Linked DNA regions of Drosophila melanogaster. The protein of the gene in region 3 interacts with the protein of the main gene of each other region in a pairwise test. Each region holds a gene or a part of one and is shown on either strand. Other genes may lie near its edges.

Region 1 (9,268 bases), on a different chromosome or scaffold from region 3:
ATATGTGTGCAGTGGCAATTAGGGGAGGCGGGGCACTTAAATGTACAAAATAGTTTTATGACTTAATTTTGGTCTAATTTTTACTATTTCCCACTGCAATAAATTTGCGCTCTGTTTGGGTTATTGTTTTTAATCGCATTGGTACAGTGCACGATCGTTGGATTCATAATTTTTTATATATGCAACATTTATTTGAAGGAAGGATATAGTGACTTAAATTTGTTGGCTTAAAAATGCATTAGAGGGATATTAAATATTTTCTTTTTAGGCCAAGTTAAATCCCCTGCTCGATTGGCCACTGTATTTATGTGTGTTTTGCATTTCTTTCTTGCTCCAAACAATTTGAACGCTAGCCATTTTTCGGCTTTTCGCCCAACAACACAAATCATTTTGCATGTTCGCGGCAGCCGCAAAAGGCGAGCCAAAGGTAGGGGGGGATGGAAAAACAAAAATAAATAAATAAAAACATATTGAAAATAATTAAATATTTGCCTAGTTATGTTCGGGTCTGCTGGGCACCGAACTGGGCACACACGTTGCCCCCCACCATCGCTTACCAATCCGCCCACGCCGCAGTAAATGGACAGGGAGACGAGCAGTCCGATGTGATTGAGCGCCGACTTCCACTTCATCGACTGCCAGCAGGCGGTGCTCCTTCGTCCGCCGGCGGTTCCCTTGGCCAAGCCACCACCCTCGGCGGCATCCACACGACGGTCGAGATGCTTGAGCTTCTCCAGCAGCTCGGTGCTGGCCTCATCCTGCGAATCGTACTCCTTCACCGTCACCTTCTTCATGGGCATTCTGCACTCCGTTTCTGATTGTTTTGGCCGGCCTATGCCTAAATTACTTGTGCTATCATTTAATAGTGTGTTTTTTTCTTTCTTTTGTTTATATCTATTTAATTTCTTTCTTTATTTTCTTTTTGGTTTTCAGGGGCCCGGCCCGCTTTGGTCCTGTGAGTTCAACATTTCGGGGGCACGTCTCACGCAAAGGGGCAACTTTTGAAATAGTTCGCACTCGCGCCAAACGATCTGGAATTTTGACGCGGCCCCAGAATCCCGAGGAGAACCAACCGTCAACAAGTCAAAGTTGCGACTGTTTTGCTTTTGGCGCTGCATTGGATACGCGGGGCTCTGCATGAAAGGTGGCCACCTTTGGGGGCAAGCGTGTGGCAACATGTGGCAACGTTGGCCGCGAAACTGAACGAACGTAAAATCGTTGCATAAATTCGAAATAATACTTATTATAATAAGAATATATAAGAACGGAAACGCTGAGCGATGGTTGCTTGTGTATAGAAACATTTTATTATATTAATTATATAATAGAACATTAATAAAAACGAGCTTAAGTTATCCTGTGATTGATAAATATATCAGAAAGTTAAGTGTGTGTTGTTCATAAAGCAAGATAACATCTTTCCATTTATCTATTCAAATTAGTCACAAAAAAATCTCTTTCTAGCACATTAAATTTATTCAATCTGTATAAATTAACTGTAGAATATTCTGTGAAAAAAAAAACATGTTAGGTAATAAAAATAACATCATTTTTACATAGCTTAAAATAAACGGTACAAGACTTTTCACAATATGGCAACGTCAATGTTCGAATGTGGCAACATCTTCAAATGGCGGCAAATTTCGAAAAAGTTTCTCAGCCAATCCCATTGAAAACTGGCAACATATTTTATCCATTTTTAATCTGTTTTCTTTTTACATACATACATTTTATGATGATGATGTACATTAATACATTGAACTTACAGTACATTTAAGACGATCCATACTTAAATATATATATTTATATTTATATATGTGCATGAACGCAAGTGTTTCTTAAATCTAAGTTGTCAAAAAAAAAAAGGATGAGAAACGAACAATACGTATTCTTGAAAGTCAAACTAACGTAACGCTCTGTTTAAGTAGCTTAAACATTGAAAATTGATTTTCTGATTCCGCTTAACCGTTAATAATATTAAAATATTAATTTTTACGGTCTATCGCACACATTTGCAAGTTGAGTGAGTGAGCTGTGTTAAATTTTGTCCCTGTTTTGCTGACTAATTTAGCAATCATATAAGTGCAAAATATTAACGTTTGCACCAATAGCTTTCTCTTGCAAAAATACTTTGGTATTTTCAACGTGAGTTTGCATATAAATTGAATATGTCTTTAAAAATAAACGTAAGACTACTTCTTGATCGTAGGGAGAACTAATTATAAATTCAGTTAAATGTACAAATTAATCGGTCCTTAATAAACCTACGTGTGTGCGTGTGAGTTTGTAGCTATGTCTGTGTCTGTGTGTATGCTTCGGTTTCGATCTGTATCTGTCTATCTGTACTTGGTGCGCAATTTGCCAGCTTACTACGATTCTAACGCGGTCATTATTTCGTCCAGTGTACCCCTCGAGATGGCATGGCGGCTGGAGTTCAACTGAAAGTTGGGTTCTAAAAGGCATAAGCAGAGCAAATAGTTATTAGAAGGTGCATTCAAATTAACATTTACGAAAGTATGAAATATAAGCAAGTTCAAATTGCAACTGGAAATTGTGCATTGCCTATACACTTACACTTAATTAAGATACCCAGACTTAGAGAAGACCAGAGAAAGTACAAAAAATGCCTATTAAGTAGTTGTTTTAATGACAAATGTACGCAACGGGCGAATGTTCATTAAATCAATCAATGGAATGCTTGACCAATGACCAAGTGTCACTAGAGCTTTAACGTAAGAGTTTTTGGCCTCACAAAATAGAGAAGTTTCGTGAAAAGCGAGACTACTTGGCAAGAATTAAAGTAGAAAATGACGTACTTTACTGTCTTGAAGACTTAACAGTCCCCACTTGTACTCCCTAAGTATTCATGCTATTATTTGAGATTGCCTTGCGATGGAGGCGATCGTCTGGCACTCACCGGATAGCTGGTCCATGATGACGTCATCTAGCGTGGCCATGGGATCCTCCATGGGCGAGTAGTATGTCGTTGCCGTTGATCTGGATTCGCTGGTGGGTTCACCATTCACTGTCCTGGGCGCCGAGGGCGGGGTCATAAGCTCGGCCGGCAGTTCGGGTGAATCGATGGGATCACCGATGATGGTTGCTGCTGTTTGTTGATCCTCGTCATCGTTCGGCGCTTTGCTTGCTTTCTGCTCTGTTTCCTCAATGGCTTGTCCAGCTAGCAGCTTGGCGTTATCGCTGGCGGACTTAAAGCTGCAATCGGAGTCACCGGAATCGAGGCGACTGCGCGATTTGGGCGTACTCTGGCGGGATGATGGCGTATGCAATTGACGGACATCGTCCAACGACGTCTGGATCTCCAGCACGTCATCTTCGTTATCGTCAGTTGTGGACGGGAGCTGTGGTGGGGTCGGCAAGTCACTGAACTCCTCGGCATGCTCGACCTCGTCCTCTACTTTCTCAACCCTGTCTTCGTTCGTTGGTTTTTCTAAAGATTTGACGGCGTTATCGCTGATTTCAGCTGCATTTTCCTCCAGATTTTTCTCGTCCTCGTCTAGCAAAACTTCTTCTCGAGCATCTTCCGATTTTTCCTCCGAATTGTCAGCCTCTTTTAACTCTGGCATATCTTTTACTACTTTTTTTTCCTTCGCCTCATCTGTATTTTTCTCTGTTGCATCCACAAATTGTTCTTCTCTATCTCTTTCTACTTCATTTGTCTCAGTTTCGTGTGCGTCTCCCTCTCGCTCATTCGTTTCGATTTCCTTCACTGGTGGTTTGATTTCGACATCAGGATCGGAGGATTCAATTTCCACAACTGGTGAGTTTTCCGTTTTTTTCTCCTTTTTCGTTTGCATTTTGTCAGTCGTCTCCTTTTCGTTTAGCATCTTGTCCGTCTTTTTGTTTGATCTTTCTTTTAGGGGTTTTGGCTGCTTTTTTTGTGCATCCTTCTGCTTTTTTAGTACCGGCTTTTCGTCCTCATCATCACTGATGGTCGTGGTGAAGGATATCTTCTTTTTCTTGGGCGGAGGCGTTCCAGATCTCTGGGACCCCGGCACATCGTTGGGCACTGGACGTAAAAATGGAGAGAATTGCATTAGTTTTAGCTCAATTCTTCTTTAATTTGATTTGGTCAAATCCTGTCATAAAAATAACGAAATCATTTAATACAAAATGAGACATGATTAATGCGATTACATCGAGTTTGATGTCAGTTTAATAAGTGCATCCTCCTACCTATATACTCCTCATCGTCATCATCATTATCTCCACCTCCATCAGACCTGGAGGAGCTGTTGTCTATGCTTAGGCGGCCCAACCTGCGTAACTTGAGCCTTCCGACCACAGGCGTACCGTTGCATGAGCGGCGCCTAACCCGCTCGCGCGAGCCTCCAGAAGATGACGAGAAGAGCGGCGTGGAGGTCAGTGCTATGTCCTCCAGCACATTGCCAGTGGCATCCACACGCTGCAGTCGTGTCGGTTTCGGAGCTCCTCTCGATGAAAGCGAACCGAAAGTAGACCGACGTGATGGACCCCCGGGGCTGCCCAGAATCTCGACGGCCTCGCTGAAGGATACCGCCTTCTTGGGATACACCTTCCTGACAACTCCGTCGCCAATGGGAGGCGGTTTGCAGTCAGGCCACTTGGCACTTGGTAAACGCGTCCTCCTCACCTTCACCACACAGCCAAAGAAATGCGCGCCATAACGCTTAACCAAATCCGGATCGGTGTTGCGTCCGCGACTGGATAATCTCTTCGCCTTGATCTTGGGCTTGGGACTTCGCTTCAGTGCGGAGTGTGTGCTTTCAGAACTCTTGGCCAAACTGGGCGGCGGTGTATGAGCGCGCAACGAGTGGTTCAGAGCACGCTTTTTGGCGCCATTCTGCAAAGGAACTTTGATGTGGAAATTGGTCTGCGCTGTTGATGACTTTTGTTTCTTAGGTGACGTTTTTCTCTTTTTGTGCCTGCTACGGCCACTAGTACCGCTCTGGTTAACGATCTCGGGCACATTGATAAATGATGAATTGGCCAAAGATTCGACGGCCGAATCGATTTCTGTCTGTTTCAGGCGACGTAATAGCACCCGCACCTTTCTTTTAACATTCGGCGACTGCTGATCGCTGAACATCTTTTGCTGAGCCTTCGTCTTGGTGGGAACGACCACCATCGATTGCTGGTCCTCCTCGATGGCCTCGCCGTCGTCGTCAATGGACACTTTTGGCCTCTTGTTGTGCGGCGTCGATGCAGAGACAGTGGATTTCCTGCTTTTGTTTGGTTTTGAGTTAGCCACGCTCTTACGCTTCCTCTTGGCCAATGACTCGTCGAGATGGTCGAATGATGTTTCCGAATCAAACAGATCAATGCTGCACTGTTCGACATTCTTTGATTTTCTCGACATGCGCAAGTCATTCTCGTCCAATTGGTTTCCACTCTCCAGGAGGTCTGACAGAAAATGGAAAAAACGATTGGAGGTTATTAAACTTCTAGGATTGCCAGCCAATTTGCAGGCAAACAAAATTATGCTCAATTTACCATTTACGTCGATTGGCGAATCGGGCGGTATGGGCGACGGAGTGGAGAGCTTGGTGTCCACCGGATTAATAGTTTGCGGCGGCGGCGCCGCTTTGACCATATCAAAAATATCCATTATCGCAGGTTTCAGCCCTTTGCGATTTTCCCACGAAAATGAAAATTAGCAAAGAGCGCAGATTTACCGCTTTAAAATATACGGTTAATATGCGCTTACAGATGTGTGTTTTGCGCAATTAGTGAGGCCACTGTACCACGGACTAATTGTGGCGCGAGGAGCACTCGATTTGCCCACTTAATCAGCAGATGCGACTTTTAAAATCGCGTTTGCATTCAGGTAACTTTCCTGATTAATTTTACACACTCCTAAAGACGCCATCTAGCTGGTGTGCCCGTGCGCAGATACCGCGAAAATATTTCACCGCCTCGGCGCATTTTTATGGGTTATTTATGTCGCCAACAATCATTAACCACAAAATGTATTTTAAATTTATCAACAAATAGCCTATTTCCTATCATTAAACGACAAAGATCTTATGGACACTTTTCATCAATGGAATGCTGAACAACAACTTATTACTCTGAGCAACATAACTCCATTAAGATTCATACTTATCTCATATGGTTGAATGTTTCAAAATCATTTACAAACATGTAATAACAGCACTTGCAGCCCACTGTACAGGTTTGAGTCTGTGCTAAACAGCTATCATTGGTATTTTTGGTATTATTCAAATAATCGATAATGCAGTAGAAACTTTTCTATCGGTTATCAGCTATCTGCGCTTCAGAGAATTTTAGTATATGGTAATACTTATTTAGCGGCTTACTTCAGCTTTTGCGCGACGGTCACACCGCCAGTGGGCGAAAAAAAACATTCGTGAATTCACCGTCGTCGAACGAACGCTGTATTTTTTTCCAGTGCAATATTCGGTCGATGTATAACGAGTGATTGAATTAAAGTAGTCCTTTTAAAAAAAGTACTAGTATTTAAATAAAAATAAAGTCATACAGAACAGCATAGGGAGAGAGGGCGAGAGAAAAAATTGCTGCTGCTGAGGTGTGTGCAATTGCCTGTGCGTGTGTGTGTGTGTGTGTTTGTGTGACGTTTACAGCAGCAAAAAGTTCGGTAGTGTCGTCAAAATAATCGTGTATTATAAAGTTAATGCAAACGATTCTCGATCGGATACGAGTTGATCGCGACATATTGAGTTCGTCGAATGTGGAAAAGTCTAGCTGATTGAAAACGAAACGCGGATAAAAAAAAAACGATAAACAACGGCAATTTGTTGCTGCCGCAACAGCAACAACAACAGCAGCAGCGCACTAACGCAACCACCACCACCCCCTGTTCCAGCCTAACGGTTCATTTACAGTGGCCGAAGAAGCAGCAGCAAAGGTGAGGTTCCAGCATCTTTATTTATATTTTATGTGTCGTTCTTCTTCATCATCTTTACTTCTTCCGTAAAAAAACTCAATGTGTGTGTGTAAACATTATCAACGAAAAAAGTGGAGTGGGAAAAAATACAGAAACTTTCTTTCGCTGTCTGTGTGGGTTTATGCTCGCGTGTGTGTGTCTGTTGCTACCTTTTTTTTTTTACAAATTAGCGAAGCAGCAAAAGAAAATCGGGTACAACTAATTTTGTATGCTTAAATTTCGCGCATTAATGTAATTAAAAGCGTCCATTGTCCATTGTTCATCGCTCATTGTCCATCATCATTCATCATCGTTCATCATCGTTCTTTGCAGCTTCGCTGAGCAACAACAACAACAATGACAACAGGGCAGCCCTGCTCTTACTTCCTTTTCCATTTCCATTCCTATTGCCATTCCCATTGCTCATTTCCCATTGCCCGCTTCCCTTTCCCAATTCCTCTTTCCCAATTCGCTTTGCTCTTCCACTCCCACCGCATCAGCTGCTCCTGCCACTAGTTGTTGTTGTTGTTCCTGCTCTGTTGTAACCTTGTCTTGCTCTCCTTTCCTTTGCTTTCCACCCACTTTTCGTGGGCCCAACGCACAGTGGGAAAATTCAGCAATCGAGGGAGGGAAAAACTATTTGCCAGTTATAAAATGGAAATGGAAATCGAAGAATAATGACTCTACGTCCACTCTTCTGTAAACCATTAATTACGACCAATGGCTTAGTAATATTTAAAAATAACATCTAATCTTGTTCTCCAATTTTCACTGTGCATCTCTCCATCTCGCTCTAGCCCGCTCTGCGCCTGCGCATTGCCAACTCGGCGACACCTTGCAAGCAGCGTTGCCACCTTGCACATGGCCTACGTAGACGCAACGAACAGTGGGGGTGAAAAAACTAGCATTAAAAATAGTAAATTGCTAGCTTATTAAGCTTCATTGTTGTTTGTTTAATATGAATACAGTTAATTTAACGCTTTCATTGCATTAAAAACAAACTGGCTGCAGCGAATTTCGTCGAAACTAGCTAAAAGATTGCTGAACTCTTGTTTATCTGCCGGTCGTGATAAGCTTTGTATCCGTATGTAGATTACATATACGTGCAACTGAGGGCTTTCTGCTAAATTATATCGAGATCTTAAAGATGCCCAAAGGCAGACAAGTGCTCAGTTACTTTATACTTTACTTTGCTTTGGAAATGCAGCCATAGTCCTTTGACCTCTGCTGTACCCGACCCATCGCACTCAAGTCTTTTGTTTTTGTTTTTTTTTTTTTGTGCGTGGGGATTGTTGCGTGCTTATTCAAATTTCAGTTGTGCTATTTATTTAAATCACGAGCATTAAAACTAGTGGAGCACATAGAGCAGAAAGTCATCGTCATGTTAATTATGATCATAAATTTGCAGAGCTCGTGGGTGTGTTGGTGTATCATCCGTCATTATCTGGAGAAGGTTGGGGCAGGATAGCCTTCATTCTGCCTTCTCTGGCCAACAAAAAAAAAACATATACATATATAAAAAAAAGATAAATAACAAAAGTCAAGATACTTTTTTTGGGTTATTTCAAACGGAATTCTTTTTGCGTTTAGCGGGTTTTTCAACTATCTGCTCAAGTGTTTTCGCCATGTTTCATTATTTGCATTGTTTTATGATATTTTGGCGGTTGTTTGTTGCTGCTTATTATGTTGCCCATTTCGATCGCGCGAGCTTTCGACCTTCGCCGCAAAGCCGCAAAAAATATATGTCAAAAATAATTTGCACTTGAGTCTGTTTCCCTATCGGCGTTTATTTTGTATTTATGTATGTATACATATTTTTTAACGGATCATACCAAGCGCTTGCCAACACGTTTTCGCGCAACCAAACTAAACGCAAATTAAGTAAGCCAACTGTGAAATTACAGTGATCACTGTGCAAAAAAAGACTCCGAAATAAATGCGATTTTGTTAACATTTTAAGTGCATTTTAAATTATAAAATATATATGTAATTACTTGTTTAAGCGAATACTAACTATTGGAGTCAAGTTCATGATCGAGCTGCCACCTTTCTTTGTGGGGCTCAACGAAAAGTATCTATGTAGCGTGGCTTTACTTTATTGGCATTTCGTTACTTCCTCTGAAATTTGTTTTCGAAAAAAGTTTGACAACCTCATGCCGTCTCTTGCGATTGCGCAGCTACCTTTTGTTAGCCGTCCCTTTCTGGCGAGGCAAAAAGTGCCGTTATGTAAAATCAGAGGCAATAGCTTCCACAACATAAAACCGATATGTATGTATGTTTCGCCAAGAAATATCGAAAATAACAACAATGGGGCTGGGGCATCCAGCATCCACACAGTCGTGGCCAAGCTATTATGGCCACTTG
Region 2 (6,597 bases), on a different chromosome or scaffold from region 3:
TGAAACTACAGACCATAGACAGCTATATGATGTGGAGAGTAAATAGAAATTCTAAATGTATACAACAGTCTAATGATAGATCTTCATCATCGCATCAACGATGAGGATGATTATGAAGATGAAAGCTAATCAAACACGGGACAAAACAAGGAGAAATTTACCAAATACCAAATCACAACATTTTAACATAATTTTTACAGTTTGTATAAGTTCGACAGAGGCAACGTACATAAATAATAATTATAATGATTAACAATAAAAACCAACAGTCAGTTGGAAGACTTTAGCGAAATGAAATAGTTAAATTATGAAACTCATTTGATGGCGAATGAACGTGGCGTGAAACTTTTTGTACGCATTTGACTATTTTTAAAGCATTTTTATTAAATATATATACATACATAGTCACTATTATACGAATGTTTGAGAACCAAACGAATGTACTCATTTAATTAAGTTCACGTGCACACAATGCACTGGAATCTCTTTTAACAAATTGTTATCGGATATTTGATTTGTTTAAGCGTATTGTTAGTTATATGTACATGTATCTCTTATCACACTTTCCTTTCGACAAGCGAACGAGGCAGCAGGAAAAACGAGGGTAACAATTGCATATTAAATACAATTTATAAGTCAGCCACACAACACACACACACACACACACACACACACACGAAAACCAAATTCGAAACAGAAATCAATAGCAAAATGCAGCAGGATTGGAAACAAATGTTGCCATTTTCGAATGGACAACAGCAGACAGCAACATTGAAATTCAATTTTTATTGTAAACCTAATTAGCAGCTGCAAACAAGAAGAACAAAAATATATTACAACAAAAACGAACATGAAATGGATGTTAATACTTTTTGAAAAAGAGAATAAAAAAAAAAAACAAATATGCAACAGTAAAGAAAGTAAAAAGAAATACACAATGATTATACAATTGCAAATGCAACTTAACACTCAACATAAGGATAGTGAAAATGTGTGACAAATGATTAAATTACGAAATCCTTTTGAAGAGAAAACAAATGAAAATAAAATGTGAAATTTAAAATAAAATTAACATGGAATTTCTTTTTATTGATTCTCTTTTTGGCTTTCGGGGATTTCAGGTTTTGGAAAAAGGATTTTAAACAACGATTTTATTTTAAATTTCATCTTTTCCACTCGACGTTTTAAACAAACGTTGCCAGTGATGCCAGATGGTTTTTGAAATGTAACACACGATCTATACACGCCAGGTGGCGTGTTGCCCTCTGGAAGTTTCCACATGTGGAGACTTTTGAATTGTTTGGCGCGCTAGTTATATATATTTAAAAATAGAAGAAATTGCCAGCAATACATGTTGTTTTGGTTTTAGCCACCACATTTTGATTGCCACCACGTGAAATCTAGCAATTTCTATAATGCTTGCAACCCACTGACCCAGAAACGACACTTGATGTGTGTATAAGTAATTTTATTGTTTATAACATAATAGAATTGGTACTAAAACGTACTATGTCCTTACGGCGTATAAATCTATAAGTGTTCTACTAACTGATGTAACCTCCCCGTGTTGGAATGCCGAAAATGTGCTTTGCTTGAAAAATGGTTAGTTACTTTAAATTTATAATACCTCATTTATTTAATATTTTGTTTTGGGATTATTATGTATAAGATGTTGAGGCACCGATTCATGTGGCGGTAAACAAAACAACTTATGGAATTTGTGTAATGCTAAATAGCTAATAATCGATCAGTCTCCAACACGAAACGGGCTACACGGGCTGCTTTATGTGTGTGTGTGTGTGTGTGTTGTTCTCTTTCCTAATCCTATCCAGCGCTTGCATCCTCGGCCAATATCTACAGCTCTTCGCTTGGCACACTCACTAGCTTAGGGCTACAATTGGTTAGGCTAAGTTGTCTTACGAGTACGTACGGTAAATTAAATATAGGCCTTAACTAAAGTGATAACAATTATATGCGTGTGTGTGTGTGTGTGTGTGGCTGGCACAGCTCTAGCCTAGTTGGGCAGCAGCTCGGACAGCTGATTCTGCAGACTGGGTGCCAGTGTGTCGGGAAACTTAATGTCGAAGGAGACGATCAGATCGCCGCGCCTCGATGGCTCCTTGGGCACCGGCAGACCCAGTCCGTTGATCCGGCGCGTTGTGGTGGGCTTGATGATCTCGTGGTTCGGATTCACCTGTATCCTGCTGCCCTGCAGCGTGGGCACACTAACCAGTGCTCCGCACAAGGCCTGCTTCAGACTGATCTGGGCTGTATACTTTAGATCGATTCCCTCGCGTTTGAACAGCGAATGCGGTTTGTCGCGAATGATGAAGACGATGTCAGCTGGCGTCTTGTTTGGCGCCGAATCACCCTCTTGGGGGAAGGTAATCTTGGTACCGGCCTTCCAGCCCGGCTTCACTGTGATCCTCAGCACCTTCTCCTCCTTGTACGGCCCATTGCTTCCGGTGGCCATGCGTGAGATTTTCATCTTCTTGATGCATCCCTTGTCCACTTCCTCCAGCGACACGAACAGATCATGCTCGATGGGCGGATCCTGCTGGCGCTTGCGACTGGGTGCCTGGGCATTAAAGGCAAACATATCGTCGCCGCCAATGTTCCAGAAGATCTCGTTGGTATTGCCGCCCTGACCGCCACTAAACATGTTATCGCCGCCGGTAAAGAACGCGCCAAACGGATCCGACGATCCAAAGAACTGGGCAAATGTGGCCCTCGGATCGCCGTGGAACTGGTAAGTGTACGCTCCCGGCTGACCGCCGCCATCTGGTCCCGGCTGTCCGCCCTTCAATCCATCCTCACCGTAATTGTCGAAGATGTCGCGCTTCTTTTTGTCCGACAGCACCTCGTACGCCTCGGCGATCTCCTTGAAGCGCTCCTCCGCCTGTGGGCTCTTGTTCTTGTCGGGATGGTATTTGAGTGCCAGTTTGCGGTAGGCCTTCTTGATCTCATCGTCGCTGGCCTTGCGCTCGAGGCCCAGAATCTTGTAGAAGTCTTTGCCCATCTCTCAGCTGAAAATATAGGGGAAACACAAACGAACGAACGCTATAGATTAGAATGAATACTGATTGCCAGCTTGCTGGGTTGGGGCGATGGAAAGTGCTAGAAGCACAGAACAGCACAGTTGTGCAACTGCCGTGTTGTCACGCGAGTGACGTATGTAGTCACCATCAACGAGAGCTCCGCTCCCGATGTGCTTCTTTCAGCAGATCAAATCGATGCGCCCACATGTGGCAATATGTCCAACGAAGCTTACCTTAAATGTAAGCGATTGTCTGGGAATCCGTAAAAGTTCAAAAATCCAAGTGGAAAAGTGCAAAATGCAATGGCAAAGTGCAATTGTTGGTATTGTTCACTGTGTATTCACACTATTTATATTTTCACGGGGCAATGTTCTTTAAATATTTATGAGTTTTGTCTCTTTCTCGCAATTGATTCAATTCAATTGTTCTTCTTCGCTTTTTTCTTTATCCACCAAATGTGGCTTGCGCACTAAAAACACACCCTACTTCAGAGTTTCTTTCTCTTCAAAATTTTGTTTAATAATGAGCGGGATTCGTGCGTCAACCTCATTTTATAGGTTCGCCCTCGTCTACGTCGAAATTTCTGGATGCTTCTCGGATTTTAGGGTTGTATCTCGAAAACGTTTGACTGCGAATGTCAATATCGATATGCTAACCGATAGCTGTCGATGTTTTAAACACAGTGCACTGTTTTTAAATCGCTCCCCATTTATATATATTTGTGCATGCTTTTGGCGGTGACTCTTCTTTATATGCTTCTTATGCTTTTACGATTATTATTAGCGCTTATTTGATTGCAAATGCCAAGGAAAGCGTGACTGTGATGGCGAAATGCGGAAAGTACTCCTTAAATCTCATATATCGCATAAAACTATCGGTTCTGGAATGTTTCGTGTAAGTCTGCGAAGATAGAGATCGATCTATTTTGAGGATACATTTGTTAATATTATAAGGGATTCTTCTACAGGGGTCAGATTGCTTAAAAACACACAGAAAAATAAACAAAATATTTCTTTGAAATATTGAAATATTTGAAATAGAAAAAACGTATTGACGAGGTAAGCATATTGTAAAAAGATAGGAAGGTGATGGAGAAAGTTGCACTTATATTGTTCAACCAAAGAGCTTATAATCAAAAGATCAATAGATATAAATATCTTTATATGATATAAAATATAATACATATAATATATTATAATATACAATGTATAAATTGCAAGTGTCAAATTGAATTCTTAGTGTAATATTCAAGCCAACGAAAAGTAACTGAAAGTTGAAATAAATAAATTTTTAAACTTTGCCAGTGTGACCGTAAGACCAAGACTTGGGCATTGCCACAGCTGCAATGCGTTTAGTATTTTACAGTCAGCGGCGGGCAGTCACACCGGAACGAGCACGTCTGGTAAAACAGCCGAACGGAACAACAAAAAACAATTGTAAAAATGACCCGTCGAGGCTCGTTTTAAGCGAATTTCTAGCGCAGTCAGGACGCAGGAGCAGCCGAGCAGGCCGGGATTAGGACCGGAGGAGCAGGATCATCGGGAGAGTAGAGCCGAAACCCACACTCACACACAAACGCAGCCGTATACCGCAGTATTTTCATACACACACACACACTTGAGGTGAGTGAGACGGAGGTACACACACATGCACACATACAGAGAGAAGAAAACAAGGCGCCCCACGAATTTTTGCAAAATATGGACGCGCCTTGCTAGGGACTAATTGCCAGCGCGAAGGACAACCATTGGGGCCACTTTTTGGGCCAAACTCCGGCCGACATATGCGTGTCACGTTCCACAGTCGAAGCCTTGACCGATCGCCCCGCCCACCGTTCACCGCCCCATCGCTGGAAGTATTGCGCAAACGAATGTGACCCTTAACCCTTGCCCCCCCCCCCCCTTCCACAAAGAATATCCTTTGGCATGGCGCCTGTTCAAAGGATGTCCCACTGCAGCAATGCAGCATTGTAGCAGCGACGGCAGACCCATAAAAATAGTCATTCATTCCCGCAAATAGAGAGCTGGCACATCGAAGAGAGCATACGGTCGACATTAATAGCACTTTCGCTGTAAACCCAAACATATCGCCTATATTCATTGAGTAATCCGTCTGGGTTCTAGGGACCCAAAAGTTCCCCCCAGTGAAATACCCACCCACTGCATTGTGCGGCGATAATCGTTATCAGTTGCAACTCGTGAGTGGTCATTGATATTCGCAAAAGGCAACTGGACAATGTTTGATTGTTATCAGACCCCTGATTGTAACCCAGTCAATAGCTTACATTACTCCCCATTATCCTGTTATTTGTTTAAAACAAGTGGCTTGGGTACTGTTGCAATCCGTGTATCTGTATTCATGTTCTTATCGCACCCCGAAGTTATAGAAGCTATATAAAAGTATTGTTTTCCTATTGAAGTGTAAGCCAGATAAGTAAACTGTTTCTCATTGTTATAGTACATCACGCCGAGAACTTAACACGTAGCTCGCTTCGCCAAAGATCGGGCGCCAGATCGGGTGGTGTATCTTCGGATCGCAATCGGAATCGGCATCGGCATCCTAAGCGGCCAGTACACGCGTGAACTATGCCGTGCGTTGACGGTGCGGTCTTCTAGTTCGGAAAGATTTCGGCACACTCAGTTCCGACACAGACGGTAAAACTCACCAAAATCCGTTGCATATATAGACCACGGATATATACACACTTATTCACACAACATTGGAAGCTCCAATTAAAGTTGTGCGACGCCTAAGAATAGAAAGCATTTCGTAATGGAGATTTTCTGTTCGAGAATGCATTATATGATCGGGAATCGAGAATCCTACAATTTCCGGCACTCAGCAGTCATATCTCAGACATCTCATGGTTTTTGTAGATCACATAGATTTCGCAGTACCGAAATAGTTCAAAAATAGCACAAATATATGCGAGCATGACTGTTGCCCCTCCCGCCGTCCCCCCATTGGATCGTGTATATGGCATAGATAACTCGCGATATCGGTTTCTGTAATACCCGACCAACACAAACATTGACCAAAAGATCATCGTCATCATGTAAATATTGAGTGGGATGGATGGGGCCAATGTGTTGAAAGTGCCTGACCATTCTGATGTATAGGATAGACGTATTCGAACAGTCTGTGCGCTTCTCTGAATTTCTCAAAAACCTTCGCATTCACAAATAGCCAGATATACGCGTATTCAAGACGCTCCCAAAGCTGTCTTATATCTTGCTCCTCCACTCGCCTGTGTGCTTTTTCCGACCGCTCCGATGTGTCGTTGTGTCGCCGCCGCCAGTTTTTATTTTTAGCAGCATGGGTTTCTTATTTTGATTTTGTGCTGGCCGACGTGTATTAGCATTTTTGGATCCCCATCTCACTCGCTCCCTTGCCGGGCAATGCGGTTTGTGTTTGGACCATCCAACATGTGTTTGAACGCCCAATTGCAGCGCATTCACATCGCACATCGTGGATGTGCATCCTCCATTCGGAGGAGACCCAAAATATCTTGGCTGACTGGCTGTCTTTTTTGTGGTTATTTCGGTGCAGAGAATTGGAA
Region 3 (6,204 bases):
AGTGTGTCGTTTTTGCTGTGCTGAAACCTTTCTCGCATGTCCAACAGCTTCCTCTTGTTGCTGTGACGGCAACTGGAACTCAGCGAGGAAGTGATGTCGTTGCTGTAGCTACAATTGGGACGTTTGGCTACCTGCTCCGGAGATTGTGTTGGGGAGATGGTTCCATTCGAGTTCATATGTTGCAATGCAGGAGAAGCAGCCGACAAAGATGTCGAATGATGCCTGAGCGGAACCGATACCGTCAGCTCTCGTTGCCTTTTAAAGGACTGATTCTGTTGTTGCTGCAAATTACGTAGTTTCTGTTGCTGACGGTGATGAGCCACAAAGTCCACAAAGTCCACGTTTTGCTGGCAACTCCTTTTCGTGTAGTCTTGAGCCTGTTGCGTATCCTGAAAGCAAGCCAAGTGTAAGCCGGTGATCTTCTCATAGGATGATTGATGGCTTATACTTACTTCAGTGTTGATGCGCTTTCGGGAGATCTCCTTAAGCTCCTCCAACACGCTTCTAGTTGGCTCGCTCTCATGCTGTGGATGAGGTGGGTGCAATATGGGTCGATTCTCTCTCGAAAGCTGCTCCTGTTCGGTGGTCTTTGGCACTAACCCTACCAAGGAGTTGGATCGCAACAGGCTTGACAGCGTGTTTCCGGAATAAAAGCTGCGCTCCGGTGGTGCAATCTGCGTGATCGAAAGCGTCGGCGCCCTTGACTTGTAGGGCAACGGGGAAGCGGGCGCTCTGCGCGGCTGCGTCAAGGGATTGTAAAGATTGCTGGCGGACATGCTGCGTTGCAGACCACTGCGTTCGCTTAAGGCCACGATCCGGGATGACAGTCCGCTGCTATGCACATCGGCAAAGGTTCTGAAAGGTATGAAAATTTGATATTGCACTTTCGTCACATCGTGAAATGGCACACAAGCTTTGACTTACCTGGGATCAACCTGACTGAGGTTCAGTTTCTGTCGCGTTATGGTACTGGACGATGTGGCAGAGCGATTCATCAAGGACCGCTCCGGAGTGCGTGTGCCATTGAGCGAGGTATTCGACCCCTTGGGACTCAGTCCCCTCAGGAAATTACTGGCCGCCGGACGATTGTTTCTGAACAAAGGAGAGCAAATTTGATTAGTAACCGCTTAGAATCCAGTTGGACAGGTGGTGTCTTACAACAGCGACGCGTCAATCCGCGTGGAATCCGCCATGGGTGACATGCTGCTCATGTTAAAGCGACGACGCTCCATGCTGCCGAAGGTCAACAACCGGTATTCTCACAGTGCAGTCGGGCGGAGGGGAACACTTTTGGCGGGTGAATCAAGCTTCGTCGTAAACGATTGTGTGCAATCTCGTTTCTTTCTTTTTTTAGTTTTATTAATTCTAAAGAGAAATGCAATGTGAATTTCATAGGAAATGGTTACTGTGTGACCGTTGGTGAAGCGCCAAAATATACCAAAATCTTTAAGCCTTTGGCTAAATAAACGATTAAAGATAAAAAATAATGTTTAATACTTTCTCCGTCAAATGTATTTGGAAGTTTCGGGCAGACGTGTAAACTTGAATAAAAATTCTTATTTTCACTCCAAATTTATATTGAAATATGTCAGGATTGCCACCTTGGATACTTATTGGCAGGGCTGCACTGCAGCATGTGTCGATTATTAAATCGGGTTAATAAAATTTTATCGCAATTTAAATGTTTGCACTCCAATTAAATGAAAACATTGCTTTATTTCTTATATCTAATACTTGTTTTTTAATTTAAATACTATATCAGCTTATAATTGTAGTACCTCCGCACCAATGGTTTTCGCTTTTGCAGTGTGAAATTTAGATCGCAGATGGGCCTTTAAGTGAGTGTTGCGCTGGAAGGATTGTTTGCAGATGGTGCAGCTGCAAAGGGAATTGTATTAAATTTTGGAATACCAACGCCTAGTCAAAAAATACTCACGCAAAGGCTCGCACTCCTGTATGGATTAGTTCGTGCCGCTTGCGTCCCGAAGCTGACTTAAAACATTTATCGCAATGATGACAGCTGTAGGGTTTGGCATTGGTGTGAGTCCTAGAAAGGATTTTTTTTGGTTTGAGCTCAGAAATGTCCGAATCCGTAGTGGATACAAGGATACGTCCCTTACCTTTCGTGGATGAGGCGAGTGTTGCTATTGTGAAAGGACTTGGTGCAAAAGCGGCAGTCGTATGGCTTCTCGCCCTGGTGAATGATTCGTTGGTGCAGCGTCATGAGATGGTCGGTGTAGAACCGCTTGCCACACTGCTGGCAGGCGAAGTTCTTATTGCCCGTGTGCCGCAGCATGTGAAGCTTGAAATTGCTTTGGTCGGTGAATTGCCGGCCGCACTGTTCGCAAACACACTCGCGTTTACGCTGCAGTCGCTTACGCTCTATGATCTGCTCCTCGGTCATATTTTTCCACGTAACGTACTGTTTTTTCCGCTTGGGTTTTGTGGTCGCTGGCTTCGTTGACCGACCTGCTGCACTCTTCGATTCGGGCAGCGGTGTGTTTGGGTTCGATGATACTTCATATTCGTTTATAGTTTCATTGAAATAGGAACCGTTTTGGGGCTCCATGTAATCGTTGTTATCCGAGTTGCTGTCGTCGTTGCAAATGCTCTCAAGTTCTTTCTGTACACTTGAGATCAGAGATTCGACATCTTGAGAATCCTCTTCGGCTACTTCAGCCATATCTTGAAGCGCATCAACATCTTCAACAGAATCAATATAATTATCCTCATCCAGATCATGATGAGCATCACTATCATGATCCAAAACTTCTTCTGGGGATTCCACAATGTATTCATCGACTTCCCCGAATGGATCGTTCAGACAATCCGGCGGTGATGCCATCTCCTCAACATCTTCAGCCGGTTCCTTCGCTTCGGGAGATCTACGACGATGGACGAGCTGCTTCTGCGTTAGGATGCACCGCTCCCGGAACAAAATCGCTTGGTTCAAGTCAAGCGTGCAGCAGGCGCATATGCTGCTGGGCAGCTCTGGATCGTTGTGGAGCTGCAATCACAGAAAATGCTGCACAAATCAAATGGAAACCATTTTTCTTACATACTGTTGTGCCAGTGACAAGATTTATGTCTTGCAGCATCTTCTCGTTCTCAATATGAAAGAGATTCTTGGGCATTTTATTGTAGATGATGCTGCCGCAGGTCCGGCACTGGAGCGCCATAATGTTAGTTGAAAATCAACCGAAGTTTAGCCCAACTTCAGTTTAATTCGAATATAAACAACCAATTGTTTTGTAAACGCATCCACTACACATATGTATGTATATATATTGTGATGCAACAGCTGGTTTTATTATCGACAAAATCGATAAGTGCGGCAATGCCATTGTGTGACTTAAATGATTTAAAAAGTGCAGTAAACCATTATGGTACTCTTATTAAATGAGATTATAAAACATATTTGTATTTATGTTACTTCATAAGGTACTAATCCCTGTGCAAAAACTCTAAACAGCGTTTATGCGTGCAAAAGTTAGAGTGACCATGCAAATAGCTTAACGACACATTTCGCATAAGCTGCTCGAAACGTAAACAGTAAACAATTATTCAAAAACAAATCAAAGTCGAGATGCGAATTCTGAATTGCCGCATTTGCTCTAGATCAGATGCCCCAATAGACCTTTTTGGTCCAGGAAACGGTCATCTAGTTCGTCAAATTCACTCCATTACTGGGGTGGAGGTAATATGTCTAAAAATATTCCTTAATCATGGCACTTAATTTGCTATTTATACTTTCCAGCTAAGCTGCAAGAAAGAAATATCCGGCCAAATGTGCACGACTTGCCTGGACAATCTGCAGGCAGCCATTAAGTTCCGCCAGCGCTGCATCATTGCCGAGAAACAGAATCTGGAAAGGATTGAGTGCGACAGCAAGGATTGCTCCACAGATCCAATAATATACGAAGACATCGATGATAACCAAATTGAGAGTGAGTTGGACGAGTCCATTCTATGTCCTGAAGTCAAAGATCTTCCAATGCCAAGTGCTGAAAAGGTCTCAGCACCGACTAGTTTGAACCATCAAAAGTCAATTGGAGGAGGTACTGGTCCATATGTATGCCCTGATTGCGGAAGGATCATTAACAATAAGTCAAACTTTCAAGAGCACACGCTCCGGCACACAGGCATCAAGAATTTCCACTGTGTTTTTTTGTAAATTATCCTTAACCTCCTTTGGGCTAGTGCACCTAAGATACGATTTTTCTCCTCAGGAATTGTGAAAGGAGCTTTGCAACTCGAAAGGAACTGACTAGCCATACGCGTATCCACACGGGCGAGCAGCCATACGTGTGCGTCTACTGTCCACGTCGGTTCTCCTCTTCAGGCGCTCGCCAGGAGCACCATCGCCGCCATCGGAACGAACGCCGCTACGAGTGCGACACGTGCAAAAAGAGTTTTGTAAGCTCCGGATGTCTCAGGAAGCACAAGATGATCCATGTGGATGCGCGGAATCACTAGTGGGCATTTCGATTTCTGCCAACTCTGCACATTATTTGTATTACACGTTTCAACACACTTTGATTTTACAGCTGCTACGTATGTCAGAAGCACTTCAAACGAATCTCCCATTTGATGACCCACCTGTCCAGCAATATTCATAAACGCAAAGAAGAGAAACTCACGGAGCTAGCCATTGAACAATGAAGCTGCCTATCTAGCCATTACACTAATTAGCTATCGGTAAGAATTCTAAAATTCCGCGTCCTTTTCTTTAACAAGGTAGACGTACATTTAAGTACAGGTATTCGCATAAATCCATTTTATGCGAATATCTAGCATATTTGGTTTTACTTTTTGTTTCCCTAAGGAATAGAAGAAGAGCCGCATCCCTCCCGACTTCCAAACGTTTTTAGATTTTGATGTAAAACGTTACAAGTTATAAACCTAAAAAAACAAAACATATTTACTTGTCCAAAAAAAGAAGATTTAATTAATCCTGTGCCATTCGATTATTATTCCATGTTGTAGCTTCCACAAACGGTAACAAAGTCTTCGACAGAGCACAAAGAAAAGAAACAATAAAAAACGCACACTCATTTAATGGCCAAAATGATGTTAAAACTACCAAATAAACGCACAAAATCAAAGATTGTAATCGTGTTCCAATTTTTTTCTCGAATATATGGACGTAATAAAAAACATTACAAAAAATATTTGTGTTTTTGAACAAGTTCTTTAACCAAATAGTAATAAATCAAATCCGATTATTTTACACATCCGGTCTGACCATTTGTACTCTTTTTTATTTTACAATTTTTATATATAATTAAATGTACATTAATGAATTATCTAACAGAAATTGTATTGCATTGTTTTCGACTAATAGCGCCCCGTCCGTTCGTTTTTGTGGTGTATTACAGTCTGTTGGTGGGTCATGGTGCCCAAATGCTGATCCAACTGGTGCTTGCGGGAAAAGGTCTTATTGCAGACTCGACAGCTGAAAAATTAAAGGGAATTTAGGGTTATACATGATTAAAGCAGTCAATGGACCTACAGAAAAGGCTTCTCGCCCGTGTGGGTGAGCATATGGTTTTTTAGCACGTTAGAGTAGGAGAATGCCTTGCCGCATGTGGAGCAAGTGAAAGGTCGCTCGTTTGTGTGTGTTCTGCAAAAGGAACAAGTATAGTTTATATGAAGATTACTATGAGGAATTGCATCTTCACCTTTCATGACGAATATTGGAGCTGCGATCCGCAAACGAGCGGTTGCAATATTTACACAAGAATGGTTTCTCGCCCGTGTGAACGCGGATATGGCGATTTAGCTCGGATGGACCCGCGAAGGATTTGCTGCATATTCTGTAAGCGGAATAAGATTTACATAATATAAAATGGTTCAGATGATAATTTCAGATACTCACTCGCATTTAAATGGTTTCTCGGCCATATGACGACGCATATGAATGTTGAGAGCGGCTCGCTTGGAGTAGATATTGCCGCAGATTTCGCACATAATGTTCGTGGAGGATACTTCGGGAGATGATTTGAAGCTAGCTTGAACAGGCGGACGCTCCTCGCTAAAACTGCGTGGGTGTCCGGAGCTAGCACCGCGAGGTCGGCCACGTCCACGTTTAGTCATCCGCGTTTTACGCACCTTAGCTTTGCGGCAGCGCTCGATGGGCTGGTAGTCGCTATCGGTGCTATTCGGCACCAGCAAGTCATCCTCGTCCAGGTCGTCCACTACAGT

The links. Proteins that work in one complex are often made in the same cells at the same time.
Region 1: the proteins of CG18764 (region 3) and HP5 interact in a two-hybrid assay, tested with the Drosophila melanogaster proteins (one large-scale study listed by BioGRID).
Region 2: the proteins of CG18764 (region 3) and DnaJ-1 interact in a two-hybrid assay, tested with the Drosophila melanogaster proteins (one large-scale study listed by BioGRID).

Annotation. Positions count from the first base shown.
Region 1 is NC_004354.4:11,451,414-11,460,681, reverse strand, and holds HP5 (heterochromatin protein 5), read right to left. Parts: upstream 5,897-9,268; 5' UTR 5,606-5,896; coding exon 5,491-5,605; intron 5,401-5,490; coding exon 4,195-5,400; coding exon of another isoform or gene 4,169-4,194; exon of another isoform or gene 4,098-4,168; coding exon of another isoform or gene 4,066-4,097; exon of another isoform or gene 4,028-4,065; coding exon 2,918-4,027; intron 2,453-2,917; coding exon 2,370-2,452; 3' UTR 1,455-2,369; downstream 1-1,454. Other genes in the region: CG43155 (uncharacterized protein), read right to left, coding at 558-800.
Region 2 is NT_037436.4:5,748,575-5,755,171, forward strand, and holds DnaJ-1 (DnaJ-like-1), read right to left. Parts: upstream 3,616-6,597; 5' UTR 3,020-3,615; coding exon 2,015-3,019; 3' UTR 1,455-2,014; downstream 1-1,454.
Region 3 is NT_033777.3:11,623,969-11,630,172, reverse strand, and holds CG18764 (uncharacterized protein), read right to left. Parts: upstream 3,285-6,204; 5' UTR 3,180-3,284; coding exon 3,063-3,179; intron 3,008-3,062; coding exon 2,121-3,007; intron 2,048-2,120; coding exon 1,937-2,047; intron 1,879-1,936; coding exon 1,764-1,878; 3' UTR 1,721-1,763; downstream 1-1,720. Other genes in the region: CG14712 (uncharacterized protein), read right to left, coding at 1-389, 453-855, 925-1,092, 1,159-1,232; CG6813 (uncharacterized protein), read left to right, coding at 3,587-3,697, 3,758-4,170, 4,230-4,475, 4,548-4,662; CG14711 (uncharacterized protein), read right to left, coding at 5,338-5,455, 5,513-5,623, 5,682-5,816, 5,879-6,204.